Linked DNA regions of Xenopus tropicalis. The protein of the gene in region 4 purifies or fractionates together with the protein of the main gene of each other region. This does not show direct contact. Links are inferred from orthologs where the notes say so. Each region holds a gene or a part of one and is shown on either strand. Other genes may lie near its edges.

The links. The genes of interacting proteins can lie anywhere in the genome.
Region 1: the proteins of prmt1 (region 4) and lsm14a purify together in Homo sapiens (affinity purification with mass spectrometry; 3 studies listed by BioGRID and IntAct, with this or other methods). This does not show direct contact. The link is inferred for Xenopus tropicalis from reciprocal best matches to the Homo sapiens genes PRMT1 and LSM14A.
Region 2: the proteins of prmt1 (region 4) and dhx9 purify together in Homo sapiens (affinity purification with mass spectrometry; 3 studies listed by BioGRID and IntAct, with this or other methods). This does not show direct contact. The link is inferred for Xenopus tropicalis from reciprocal best matches to the Homo sapiens genes PRMT1 and DHX9.
Region 3: the proteins of prmt1 (region 4) and hnrnpu purify together in Homo sapiens (affinity purification with mass spectrometry; 4 studies listed by BioGRID and IntAct, with this or other methods). This does not show direct contact. The link is inferred for Xenopus tropicalis from reciprocal best matches to the Homo sapiens genes PRMT1 and HNRNPU.

The regions. Positions count from the first base shown.
Region 1 is NC_030680.2:67,701,838-67,705,357, reverse strand, and holds part of lsm14a (protein LSM14 homolog A), read left to right. Parts: intron 1-2,844; coding exon 2,845-3,008; intron 3,009-3,520. UniProt on the Homo sapiens protein: Essential for formation of P-bodies, cytoplasmic structures that provide storage sites for translationally inactive mRNAs and protect them from degradation. Acts as a repressor of mRNA translation. May play a role in mitotic spindle assembly.
Region 2 is NC_030680.2:100,161,193-100,164,712, forward strand, and holds part of dhx9 (ATP-dependent RNA helicase A), read right to left. Parts: intron 2,857-3,520; coding exon 2,732-2,856; intron 2,035-2,731; coding exon 1,886-2,034; intron 778-1,885; exon of another isoform or gene 720-777; intron 1-719. UniProt on the Homo sapiens protein: Multifunctional ATP-dependent nucleic acid helicase that unwinds DNA and RNA in a 3' to 5' direction and that plays important roles in many processes, such as DNA replication, transcriptional activation, post-transcriptional RNA regulation, mRNA translation and RNA-mediated gene silencing.
Region 3 is NC_030681.2:44,496,467-44,499,986, forward strand, and holds part of hnrnpu (heterogeneous nuclear ribonucleoprotein U), read right to left. Parts: intron 3,466-3,520; coding exon 3,346-3,465; intron 3,255-3,345; coding exon 3,129-3,254; intron 2,124-3,128; coding exon 1,955-2,123; intron 1,758-1,954; coding exon 1,491-1,757; intron 1,000-1,490; coding exon 812-999; intron 668-811; coding exon 593-667; intron 249-592; coding exon 195-248; 3' UTR 1-194. UniProt on the Homo sapiens protein: DNA- and RNA-binding protein involved in several cellular processes such as nuclear chromatin organization, telomere-length regulation, transcription, mRNA alternative splicing and stability, Xist-mediated transcriptional silencing and mitotic cell progression.
Region 4 is NC_030683.2:111,009,009-111,011,933, reverse strand, and holds part of prmt1 (protein arginine N-methyltransferase 1), read right to left. Parts: intron 2,110-2,925; coding exon 2,008-2,109; intron 1,931-2,007; coding exon 1,775-1,930; intron 1,127-1,774; coding exon 1,063-1,126; intron 983-1,062; coding exon 840-982; intron 559-839; coding exon 471-558; intron 1-470. UniProt on the Homo sapiens protein: Arginine methyltransferase that methylates (mono and asymmetric dimethylation) the guanidino nitrogens of arginyl residues present in proteins such as ESR1, histone H2, H3 and H4, FMR1, ILF3, HNRNPA1, HNRNPD, NFATC2IP, SUPT5H, TAF15, EWS, HABP4, SERBP1, RBM15, FOXO1, CHTOP, MAP3K5/ASK1, MICU1 and NPRL2.

The DNA of each region.
Region 1 (3,520 bases), on a different chromosome or scaffold from region 4:
CTTAACCCATGCACAAGGGGATCTGGTCACTACAGATTGTCTCATGGTTCAGACTTTAGTTACTTCTGCTCTATTTGTTCAGTGAGATTGATAGATCCTAATTTTATTGGTATTTATTTTGGTTTTTGAAACTTAGCACAAGGCGCTGCACTTCCCACCCTAGGCTTGTACTCGAATCAATAAATGTTTCCAGTTTTCTTAGGTAAAATTAGGTACCTTGGCTTATATTCGGAACGGCATATAATCGAGTATATACGGTACATGACCCTGCAACCTGCACCCGGCCTGAAACTGCTTCTGGGAGCAGGCAAAAGTTTAAAATTCTTCAAGCGAAGGGGCAAATTCTTGGCTTGTGTTTATCCACAAGCTGAGAATTTGCTCCGTGTGGCATTAGCCTATAGGCATTTCAGCAACCTGTAATTGCCTCCCATCCACCTAAATAGAAAAATATAGGTAATACAGGTCTGTATGCTTTTTAGCATACATATATATATTGAGAAAGGTCCCGATGGGGACCGAAATGTAACATTGGCTGTTCATGCGTTTTTAATACACAATTGACTGTTTTTGGAATATAACTCGGTGTTGCTGGTCTTTTTTGGATATTTTAAATCATTTACCTTGCACCCGAGCTAAGAGCTGAAGCAGAATGCCACCCTGGGTTTGATATATATATATATATATATATTATATAAATAACACACAGTACTATGAACACGCTGATCCTTCCAGTTGCTGCAAAGTTATCTTATTCAGATTAGAAGGGTGTTTCATCTTGACATGTGCAAAAGCTGTTTTTTTTTTTTTTATAGTTAGTGTAAAAGTCTCTTACCGTATATACTCAAGTATAAGCCGAGTTTTTCAGCACCAAAAATGTGCTAAAAAAGTCGACCTCGGCTTATACTCGAGTAATATAGATTTGAAGATGGCAATCCCTGCACACGCACGTATAACAAGTCCCACTGCCTGCATTGTATTGTGTTATTTGCGTGCGTGTGTACGCACATTCGCGCTCGCCGGCTTCATGCACTGGAAGGACATTATGGGAGTGTACACAGCGTGGGTTACCCCTTCTCCTCGCAGCTATAGGTAAGAAATATATAAATCCTAACTGGGCTAAATATGGTTTCCTCCTCTCCCCTTCAAAGCCACCGGCCTATGCTGGACGGCCTCTCAGTATACAGATGAACCAGGGGGCTTGTGGGCTTTATAGGTGGCTACAGAGGATCGGGTGGAACCCGAGCAATACAAAAATTGGTGCAATGACCATTATAATTCCCAGCATTTTGCAAGCTGTGCCCTCTAAGCCATGTAATGGTCTCAGGAGTCAGAACCGCAGTGAAGGTGTCTCAGTATACAGATGAGCCAGGGGGCCTGAAGGACAAGGAGTAAGTTAACTGTTGTAGCTATGTTATGAGAACAGAGGCCAATATTTTCTAGCACATAATGCTGCCACTCAGTGTATATATGATATTTACCAAAACTTGCCAGTTGCTTGGATTTCCATCTTATCATTACTATCATTACTTAGTATGGCAGCTTCCTTAGCCTTCCCAAACTTGCCTGACAGTAAAAAAAAAAAAAAAAAAACAACTTAGCAGTAGCGGCTGCATTTCCCCTAGGCTTATACTAGAGTCGATAAGTTTTTCCAGTTTTCTTAGGTAAAATTAGGTACCTCGGCTTATATTCGGATCGGCTTATACTCGAGTATATACGGTACTCAAGTTGTACAGGTATGGGACCTGTTTTCCAGAATGCTTGGGACCTGAGGTCTTCTGGATAAGGAATCTTTACGTAATTTGGATCTCTATACTTTGTATATTAAATTATTTAAGCATAATTAAACCCAATACAATTGTTTTGCCTCCAATAAGAATTAATTATAATTAAGAAATAGTTCCAAATCCTTTTCTATCATGTTAGTTGAATAAAATAAACTTTATACATTATTTTTTTTCCCCTTCAGTCCTGGAATTTACAATCACAGCCAGCAGGCTGGCGCCATTTTAAGGCAAAGCTTTGTGTCACCCCAAAATCTCTACATTTGCCATCTAGGTGATATCGAGGAAGGGCTGAATGGAAAGTTAAAGCAATAGTAATTAAAAATCTGAGCTGTCAATCATATATTGCCTGGGGCAGGCAATATATGATTGACAGGTCAGACTTTTAAATACATTTATAACCGGTATGGGTGATTTAATTAAAAAAAGAACTTTGGTTGCATGTTTAATTTTTAAAGGACTTTTATTATGTAGCTTTTTTTATGTGTGGGTGACAGGTCCCCTTTTAATAAGACATAATAAACTTGTTTCACATAGCACCAACCATTCAAGTTTTTGCTGCGCTACTACCATTAATACGGGTATGGTCTTAAAAGCTCTTGTGACTACATGGGTGTAGTTTGAAGTGGGTGGTCAAAACTGGCTTCCATTCTGAGCCCTCGGTACCACAGAAGTTGTACAACACTGGAGAAGAGCCTTTGTCTCTTTCTGCTCTGCTGGTTGTCTAGGGGCTGGAGGTGCCATAGATTGTAAACCTGCCACACATCATAAACTTTACCCTCTGTGGAAGTTAAGAGGGAAAGCCATTTTTCATTAGATCATTAAACTATCCATGGCTACTGTAGACCCATAAATAAATACAGATATGGAATGCCTTCCACATTCATCTTCTACAAAAGTTCAACAAAACTTCAACACATATCCATAGCTACTTCTGCAAGTTTTGTAGAAGATGAATGTTAATTCTTATAAAACAAGATATGGTTTTCGGTAGTACTGCATTGTACTTGTACTTTTAACAACTCAAAGACGATTCCTGTTTTTTTTTTATTTTTTGTTCTAGTTCGATCATTTGGGACAGAGGACCGGCCAACTGACCGACCTATACCTCCCCGGGATGAAGTATTTGAATATATTATTTTCAGAGGAAGTGATATTAAAGACCTTACAGTCTGTGAGCCACCCAAACCTCAGTGTTCCTTGCCTCAGGATCCTGCTATTGTCCAGGTATCTGGTTAACCCCAATGTTAAAAGATGGAGAACTATAAGAGTGTATTTTATTATATCTCAATTTTATTATTGTTAAGCCTTCTAATAATTTGTTTTAAAGTAGATACTTGAAGTATTGAACATTTTATGTATATGAGCCCTCTGGTGTTATAAAAGTATACCTGTGACTTATAAAGATATTTTAAAAATGCCTTCTACTACAAATGTGAAAAGGTACAAAATTGGCTCAGTATGTAATTTTTTTGTTTTCTAGAGGAATAAGTGGCTTGAATTCTGCTTTTTAACTTCTGTTGTTTTTTCCTCTCTTAAAGGAGAATGCAAGTCAAAATTTAAAAAGCATACTGCCCAATAGTCCTCCTATTTAGTAAAAACGCCACACTTTTGGCTCACCTAATGAAATATTTACTCAGTCACACTTACTTCACATTTTCTAGAACAGGCAGCCATCTCTAAAAAGGTATTCTCCCTTCCTTTCCCTCCTTGCTTCATACTGCACATGTGTTTCATTC
Region 2 (3,520 bases), on a different chromosome or scaffold from region 4:
AGCATCAGCCTGTCACTGTGCAAATGGGAGCTGATTTTTGCAGAAAATGTTCATGTACACAATGACAGGCTGATGCCATTCATATACTGCACACAAAAGAACTGGTTGCTTCTGGCCTCTATCTGTGTTTCCACTGCTGGCGGTGAACATGCATGATACTGAATTATGTTTACAGATGGTAAATTACATTTGTCAGCATGTCCAAACAAAGATTTCCAACTGTGACAATCCTGTTCTAGATAGTTATCTTATTGTAATCCAGAGTACAAGGTCCAAATATTAAAGCTGGAGGAATGGTTTATTAAATTCATATATTACCCAGTAAAGGCAAATATGTCAGGTTATGATAGTTTAAGGGCTGGTTTTAGGATAGAATAATGAGGACCCGGACCCCTAATTTTTGAAGAGACCACTGACCAAATTGTGTATTAAACTGGTAGTATATAAAGGGGGTAAACCAGTATGCTGTCGTTACAGTACTTCAAAACATCCTATTGATTTTCAAAGATTATCAGGAGTGCTGGGGTTTGCTCAAAAACAGCAAAATGGTGACAGGTTGGAACTGTAAATTATTCCTCTCAAGTTGAGGCACAATATTTCCGCTACAACAAAAATCCCTTCTCCCTTAATTCCAGCCCTCCAAAAGATAAGATCTTAGCATCATGTTATTCAAGATTGCATTACTTTATAAAACTAGAATAAGCTCAGAAGACACTGACCTGCAGAACACGCCCTAGCAGCCTGTGAATGTGTTTCTCAGCCGGCCTTTTTGGTCACCTGGAGAGAGTGACACCAGGATTCAGTAGTCAGTAACAGACTTCACATGGGATAGCTTAGTACAGCCTAAACTCCACCCCATGTGTTAAGAAGAGATTCCTGGTGTCACAGCCTCTACTCTTTAATTCTAATTTCAGCAAATTGTAACAATTTCCAAAGACACAAATTAGTAACACACTGTAACATAAGCATTTGAATAAACCCATTCCACAAGAATTTTTTCATATACGAGCTTTACTGGGAGTAAGTTTAATACTCTCTGTAATGCTCTGTTCTTTAACAGCTGGCTGAGAAACACAAATAACTGTATAACAGCTAGTCAATTTCCAATTTTCAAAAACACACAGCAAATACGTAAGGACTACTGCAGTCAAAATTTAGCACATATTGGCTTTGGTCTTACTTTTCCCTCTTGTTATGTAATGATTAGGTAAAGGTCAAAGGCAAAACAGTATTAAAGGAGAAGGAAAGGCAAAGTCACTGTACCTTAAATCGCCTACCTTGTACCCCGGGCTGGTGCCCCTGTTAGGAGAAAAGAACGCTTCCTCCTTCCAACTTGCGCTGCTGCCAAATGTCCCGGACAATCGCATGCGCAGTAGAGTGAAAAGTCGACTTCTCTGTTAAAGCTCGGCTTTTCACTCTACTGCGCATGCTCGCGCGGCAAGACAGGAACGAGGAAGTGCTGGCAGCTACCCCGGGCTGGTGCGGTTCTCTCCTAACAGGGGCACCAGCCCGGGGTAAAAGGTAGGCGATTGAAGTCAATCAAATACATAAGCCCAACTGAATAAAATTAGGGATATATTTCCCCTTTATCTCTTACTAGATATTTGTGAATTAAAACATTTAGTCCCTTTTCTACACACACAAAAATGTAACTGTATAAATAATGCTAGCTTAAGAAAAGATAATACCCGATCTGCAGCTTTCACTCGTAATTTGCTTCTGACTGTATAAATAAAGTCTAACCTACTATTAGGAATGGTATAATTTAAAACTACTTTAGAATGTAGGAGAAACATTGAAAAATATTTAATGCTCTTCTTGTTACCCTTCTATGCTTCCAACTACACAAGAAACTACCAAAATGAGCCAAGCCATGCACACCAACCTGTTGTGATCAGGCCCCACTTGTGAATACTTGTATTCCCCTTGTGTCTTCTCTTTCTGGAAGAATTGATTGAGACGTGCCTTTGCATTTTCAAGGGTCCAGTTTCCATGCAAGCCAGCATTCAAATCAACTTCTTCAGATTCTAGAGTCTACACAAAAAAGGTGTGGGAGATTTTATTACGGCTTATTTTCTAAATAACTTCAAGACAGGTTAATGGAAAGAAACCTCAAATTTTTAGGAATGAGCATTGGGCATGCCATTTATGTTGAGATATGGAGGGGATGGCTATTTATATTACCTTTTTTATATTTATTTTGGCTCTTCTAAATATTTCTGAAAGCTTAACTTGAGGGTCCTTAGAAAACAATATTTATTCTATTAAGTTCTAATTATCTTTGGAGCTACTGCTAAAACGGCTATTACCACAATGTGTCCATATATATGTAACCCTTTTGTGATTTACGGGGGCCCCTTCTGAAATATAGGACCTCAGGTTGATCTTGGACCAATTTAAGTTCTAAAAACCACTGCTGTAATAGAAATAGAAATTCACAGCAGGTCTGCTGAAGGAGTTTGGTATGTATTGTATTGCAGCCTTTCAAAAAATTAAAAGCCATACAGCCTACATGGCATGCCCCACACAGTTACACAAAACATTGTAGAAGCCATCCTCAAGAGCAGGCTGCGTTTAGCTGAAAATCCAGTTCTATTAAATCTACAGTAAATGTGACATATTTGGACACAATGGGCCTGAATTACTAAGATAGATGCTTAATTGCAAAAATGCATTTCATAAACAAGACCTGAAATTTCTAAACTTCTTATATAGTATAATAAAATCTTACAGCCTGAGCCTCCTGTTCATCCCTCTTAGCATAATAATCTTTCAGATTAGCTCCACGTTCCCATTGGGCACCTCCACCATAAGCAGGAGGGTTACAGCCTGTATTGGCCCTCATAGGTGCAGCATCTAAAGAAAAACAAGAATGCATGGATGAAAAAGAAAAAGGATAAGAGGCAATTCTGACAAGAACACATTTGGATTTTTGGACTAGTTGGGAAAAAAAGAAAAAAAAAAGAGACAAAGGAAATTATAGAGGTAGGAGTGAGAAAAGTAGAGAAGTGAGATTGGCAATCTCTTTAGGTTCCTACAGTTTAAAAATCATTATAATATCAGCAGTCCTTTCTTAAATTTTAGAAGTATGGGTCTCCAGCTTGTGTGTCAGCCAGCAAACTCTCCCAATGTGACCCAGACATAGTTGGGCAACCTTGTCATTGATCAGATTGCAAATTGTTTTAGTTCTCCACATCACTGGTTTTGTTTATGACCCAGCATCCGTAAGGAACCTAAAAAATGAGACAGTGTTGCTGCAATTGGTTGGCCAATTGCTGCAATTGGTTGGCCAAGGCCTCCAGAACTGTAGACTGTTGTTTGGGTCTAGGTTTAACCACTATCAGGCACACACTATTTGACTAGCATTAAAATACAGCAAAAATTTGGGAGAGCGAGTCCGCTTTTTCATCCTGGGGCTTGTAAGATCTGTGTAGCCCTTAATCAATTTCTTACTTGGTATGACTGGTGAATTATGAAAAACAGCTTTAATTGCTTAAGCAAATTAATGAGTAGTGCTGTC
Region 3 (3,520 bases), on a different chromosome or scaffold from region 4:
AAAAAAAATTCAACCCAGAAAGCAACTAAACAAAATAAATGGGAATAACCCAAACAAAAGTAATAAAGAACCCGCAGGCACTTCCTCTTGTGGAATGTTTGTTTTTTGTTTAAAAGTTAGCCTAAAGAAAAACAGTCGACTTCTTGTGAAGGTTTTGAAGAGAAATATGTATCAGTTCATTTTTATTTGGGTATTCAATAATATCCTTGGTGGTACTGCTGGCTCCATGGCTTTTGACCCCAGTATTGCTGCAATTAGAAAAAGGGGTAAATATTAACATGTTAACAAGCTTTTAAGCTTATTTGCCAACAAGAACTGCTTAGGTCATGTGTAACATTTGATTAAGTTTCATCCCACTACTTTAACCTAGGAGCCCAATCCAGACTTAATTCCAAGAAGTTCAAGTAGTAATAAAATTGATCCTATGTAACTTACGGCAAAAGATTTTATAGGAATATGGCCAAAGCTGGAGGCAAATGTCTGTGTGTTAGAGTAGCTCAGTGAAATAAAAAAAAATTAAAAAAAAATATAGGGTGCAAAAAGGGAAAAAAAGTTTGCAAGTCATTAAGCAATTTCAGTGAGAGATACTTACACCCTGCTGCTGCCACTGGTTGTAACCCTGAGACTGATTTTTGAAGCCACGATTATTTCCCCTTCCTCTGAAGTTCTGCAGAGAAAATTCTAGGTCAATAAACTGCAATGCAGAGTTTCTCAATTAAGATATTTAGCAACCAAATTCCCCCCTTGTTTCCTAAAACATGGCACAAAGAAAGATGGGAGGGGACAATTAAAACTTAATATAAAGTTTTACCTGGTTGTAGTTGCCACGGCTGGGCATTCCACCGCCCCCGCCACGGTTGAAGTTTCCACGGTTACCATAGCCACCTCTGTTAGGATAGACTGGTGCACGGGGGTATGGATACCCAACGGCACCACCGCCTCCACCACCACGCTGGGGCATATTTCCTCTTCGGTTGTATCCTCCACGGTTTCCTGGAGCTACAAGATAGTTAGTTATTAAATTTATGCCTAATGGTTTAAAATTTAGCGGTGAGCACAACTTTTCCCTTTTTTGTTAGTTTGCACAGAAGCAGTGGTAAGCGTCATGTTGTAACCCCCACCCTTTCCAGCTACAGTCAGGTGATCCCAATGAGCCAATAAAAGGGCAACCATTTGGGTGTTTTAATGAATCAGATAAAAGCAAGTGTAGGACTGCCCAGACCATGGATGACCGACATAGTTGGCCAGCTGGATGTATATTGCAGTATATGGACAAACAATCCCTGTTGCTTAAAGGGGAGGGCATCTCTCTCTCAAGAGGACCTCTTGTTGTGGTCACAGCTTCACTGAACCCCTGCCTAAATATTTAAGGTGGTTTTGACAAAGGTCAATGAACAAATTCTGAAACTAAGTCATCTTTGATATGTTTGCCTCAGCCCTCTTTACTAAATGTATACAATATTCTGTACAACTACATGGTGCAAACATACCTCCACCCCTGAAATTTCCTCCACGCATATTGTATCCTCCACCTCCCCGGCCTCTGTGTCCATGACCGTGAGACATACCACCTCTGCCTTTGGTATTTTTGTTCTTGTTTGGTTTCTTTGCTCCAATGTTTTGTTTTTTCTCTGGTGGAAGGGACGTCTTACTCTCCTCCTTATACTGCTCAATAAGTTTATCAGCATCTTCCTTTTGCAACTCCACATAACTGATTTCATCAAAGCACTCACTTGCTTCTGGAAGAGTAAAGTTACCTGAGAGGGAAAAAAAAAAATGTGCTCTATCAGGGGCCATCATATTAGCACCATATCAGAATGGTTGTTACAAAGTAAAGTAGAAATTAGAGACCAATAACAAGTTTGTGTCAGATCATAGCATAGAAGCCATAAGCTCTGAAAAACTGCCTTGCGAAGAGGCTCAATGGCGATCAAGAACATGGAAATCTACTTACCTTTCATTTTGAGAACTGCATGTTCTGGAAGATCTTTGCCTTCCACCTCAGATTTTTTCTGTGTTCTCTCTTTATATAACTCGTCTGTTGGGCAAACAACAACTGCTTTGCGTTGGAAGCCAGCAAACAAGCACATTTTCCTTCTCTGTGCAGCTACTGACACATTTGTCTGCAAAAGAGAAAAGAAATGTCAAACAAAAAAATGTTAACTTTAGGAAGGCAAAGCTGGAACACTTTGCACCACTCAACACAAGAAACAAATCAGTTTGATAGTGTATGTACACACACACTACAGCTTAAACCTGATGAAAGGCAGAGGGGCCTTGTATGATTACAAATAGATTTTGCTGTTCTGGTTATTATTAGAAAACTATTAAGGCACCTTAGTAGCCTTATGGCAGGGTGCTCCATTTTGTATAAAGACTCCCTGGTGCTAAGTATTTTGTACAATATATTCCACACCTGTACTTAAAATACTGCATTTAAAGGTTAGAAAGCTCAAGGTGTCTTAATTACTATAGCTTATATTTCAGTTATAAGTTTTATACAAAGTGAGGTAAAATGGACTTATTTCTATTGAAAAAAAAAAAGCCCTGTATGCTGAAAGCAAGGTTTGTTATTGTATTAATAATTATCATATTAACATGTGAAATTATGGATCACTTTAAAGAATTGTTTGCCTTTAAAATATTTTCACTCCCACTGTTTTCTAATAGATCAGAAATAACTTGACATTCTAATACTAAAATTTAAAGTTTCATTTTTCACCTTTTGAATAATTCCTTTACTTATGCAAAAACTTCAGATTTTTTTTAAATTGTTACAATATGCTACATTAGTTAATAACATTTCTAATTACCAACCTCAATTACTGAGGTTCTTCTGAGAAAAGGTTAACTTGTATTTTACTTCTATAGACTATGGTAAGTTTTCTGAAATTTTTACTAGCCAACGGTAAATATACAATTTATTTATATTTAAAAGCATACATGACTAAAATTAATTATATTTTTTATTTAACAAAATATAGAAGACAGCAGGTTTCTAAACAAAGTTTAACAATTGCCTGAAAGCAGAAAACACTGCCGGTCAAGGTATGTCTCTCTAAGGCCCTGTATAAAAATGGCAATATAAATAATATATATATATATATATATATAAAAAAAAAACTTACCTGATCCAAGATAAAATGCCTTTTTTTGCGAGCAGCAATCTCAATAAATTTGCTTAGGCACTGTGGGGCCCTCTGCAGCAAAGCATTTAACTTTCCAGTGTCAGACATTTGCTTTTTGCAGCCAACCTACAAAGAAAAGGGTTTTAAAGTAAAAATGTCAAGAAAAAAAAAAAAAAAAAAAGGTTAACATACCAAAATTATATATTAGGATTCTTACCGTCATCTTTTCCATAATAGTGTTCGTTCCAAGTATGTTGTATTTGCCAGGGTTTTGTTCAGTATGATTAGTTACCCATGTTGTTTTTCCAGCACCTGGCAAGCCAATCATCATTATAACCTTTAAAAAAAAAAAAAACATATTTGCTCTGAATGTAATAAATGTATTTGTATTC
Region 4 (2,925 bases):
TGGAAGCAAAGTACATGACAAATTGTGTTGAGGCAGTTAAACCCCTTTTCAAAGCAGTTCTGGACTGGTTTTAAACAAGTTACAAAGTTTTGGGGGCACAGTAGAAGGCCATACATTAATGCATAGCAAGAACTAACTTTGAACTGACTAAAAAAGTCTAAATATAAAAATGGGCTTTAACCATAGAAATGAAGTGGTTAGGCAGAACTTTGACCAGTGCAGTTATATATTTAAGGAATACATAATCTAAGTCTGCCCAGCTGCATTTCCATTCATCTCCATAACAGTGCCAATACTTATTATAGCTGGGAATGATGGAAATTTGTACCATGCAACACATCGGCACTTACACCAGTCACACTGAAATCTGGTATATTAAACACACATATAGGAAGAGATGCCACTGGGCTTTCACATGCATGGATTTGCTTTAACTCAAAACTGGCACCAAAGCAGCAAATAAGACTTACAGTGAATTTTGTAGTCTTTGTATTGTCTATCCTCAATAGCAGTTACATACAGTGTAGCACGATCTGGAAATATTAACCCATCTGGAGTCTGAAAGATATGCAAGTACATAGAAGCACATGGCATTAAAAAAAAAACTTCTGGCATTTCAACTAAAGTATACATTTCCTTAGCAAGTGTATATACAAGGTTACATTACATCCAGCTATCACTGGTGTAAACCCAGTAATAGCTGATGTAATGTCATTAGCATTGTTGTATTAGGTACAACAATGCAGAGAGCCTTAGCACCATTGGCACAATCAAATCCAACAAACTGTTTACATTTTTAAATACAAGATACTCGTTCTTGACACTTCTTGCGAACTTACCAGCCATTTATCCCGTGCATAGATAACAGTGTTCAGCATTGATTCATAGAACAGACAATATCCCATCCATTCACTGATTATGATGTCCACTTTTTCTACTGGGAGCTCCACCTCTTCTACTTTGCCTTTGATGATTGTAACCACTAAAGGAGAATAATAAGTGGTTAGAATGCAGTCTAGATGGAAACAGTAATGCACTTAAGACAACCGTGTTGTTACCTACCATGATCTAGTTTATTTGCCTTCACGATTTTTATGGCATAGTCAGATATACTTGAGCACTCAATCTAAGTGAAAAAGAATGTAGTGTTAGTTGAGAAGATTTAAACAAATACAATTGTATGTATCCAACCCACTTACCCCCTCTCTGCCTCAACATTCCTCCCCCCCTAAACTTAAATGGATACAGACAAAATTACTCCTCAATTAATGTACATAAGTTACAGGCAATGCTGATCATTTTTAAGTACTTGATGTTCCTAAATGTGTTTTGCCAACCTGACTGTCCCTTCTCAACCTGTCAGTTATAGCTTCTAATGCCAACTGACTCCTACTGCTGCATAAATGGCAGCCCCCTCAATGGAAAATGGGGATTGGCTGTGTAATGTAAAAGCACTGGGCAAACACTTCTATGGCAAAATTATTAATGCATGCAAAGAATGTCCTGTTTTAAAGAAGGGTTTAAATTCTTGTGTCAGTGTCTAATATACGCTATATTAAAAATACTGCATCACAGCACCTGCAGGAAAGGGACTATGATAAGAAATATTCAGATATATGGTGCACACTACCAAGCACCAGTCAGGGGAATGTAAGAGGACAAACTTCTATACCACCTACTAGCTAGTAGAGCTGGATGCATCAGGGAACATGCCTAAAAAAAAAACTCAGCGTTTCTAAATCGCAACCCCATGGGGTAGAGGTTTTTATCTTACCCCAATAACTTTCTTGGCACCAGCCTTTGCTGCAAACATGCAGAGAATACCCGTGCCACTCCCAACATCCAAGACTACTTTATCTTTAAATAGATGTCTGTTGTGAAACATTGAGTTACGATATGTCAGCGTTCGAACTTCATCTTTTAACATCTCCTGCAGAAAGAAAATGGATCAGAAAAACTCATGGACAGTTATCTTTAAAATATTAGTCTACGCAGGGGTTAACTTACCTCATGGATGCCAAAGTGAGCATACGAGTCAAAGTAGTAATCTTTTGATGTCATGTCCTCCGCATTTGGCTTCACACTGCTCTCAGGCTGAGTACAAGAAACCTTCAAATAAGAAAATGCATGCATAAGTCTTAGACACCCATATACAGGCAAGACCTCCAAGGAACAAGACACCTAACATAAGCAATATGGGTGCCTGAAGAACCACATTACTGCCTTGTGATGTTTCAATTTCATATTGCATTCACATCACTCATGATTAGATTAATTCTACAACCTAGAGACAGAATGCAGATGGTAAAAATAACTTCTAGAATGCCATGTTTCCCAGCTGTGGGCCAAAATGCTGACAGCTACTGTCACAGTAGAAGCCATTTTATAATACTCCTTCCTTCTGTACAGTCTTAAAGAGCCAGCAAACTATAGTGAAAGTATTCCTGCAACTGTAAATTACCAACCATTACCTGAATGTCTGCATTTATCACACATATGCTTTGAATTTGCAACAGAAGAAAACTTGTGTTCTGGAATGGCAAAGAGCCCAAATCTCAATCCAATAGAGATGCCATGGCACAACCAAAGACTATATAAACAATTTATGTTTAGTTTAAGCAAGTTACGCCTCATTTTTCATAAATGGCACAACATATGTACAGGTAGAGTAACCCATAGCGGCCAGATGTTTACTTTGAAACAGTAAATACTGTAACTGGGTGCTGTAATTAGACTTATCAATAACTATATATAGCTGAAAACCAGATAATGTGAGTAATGCAGAAATCCAGGTACTGAAGTTTGCAAACTTCTTACAAAAGAAAAATTTGAGGTTATGTTTTCTCCATGCTTGCACAGGTTTCCTTTATTCCATTACCTCCCACACTCCCAAAACAGTCAGGTAAACTGGTCCCTGAGAAAACA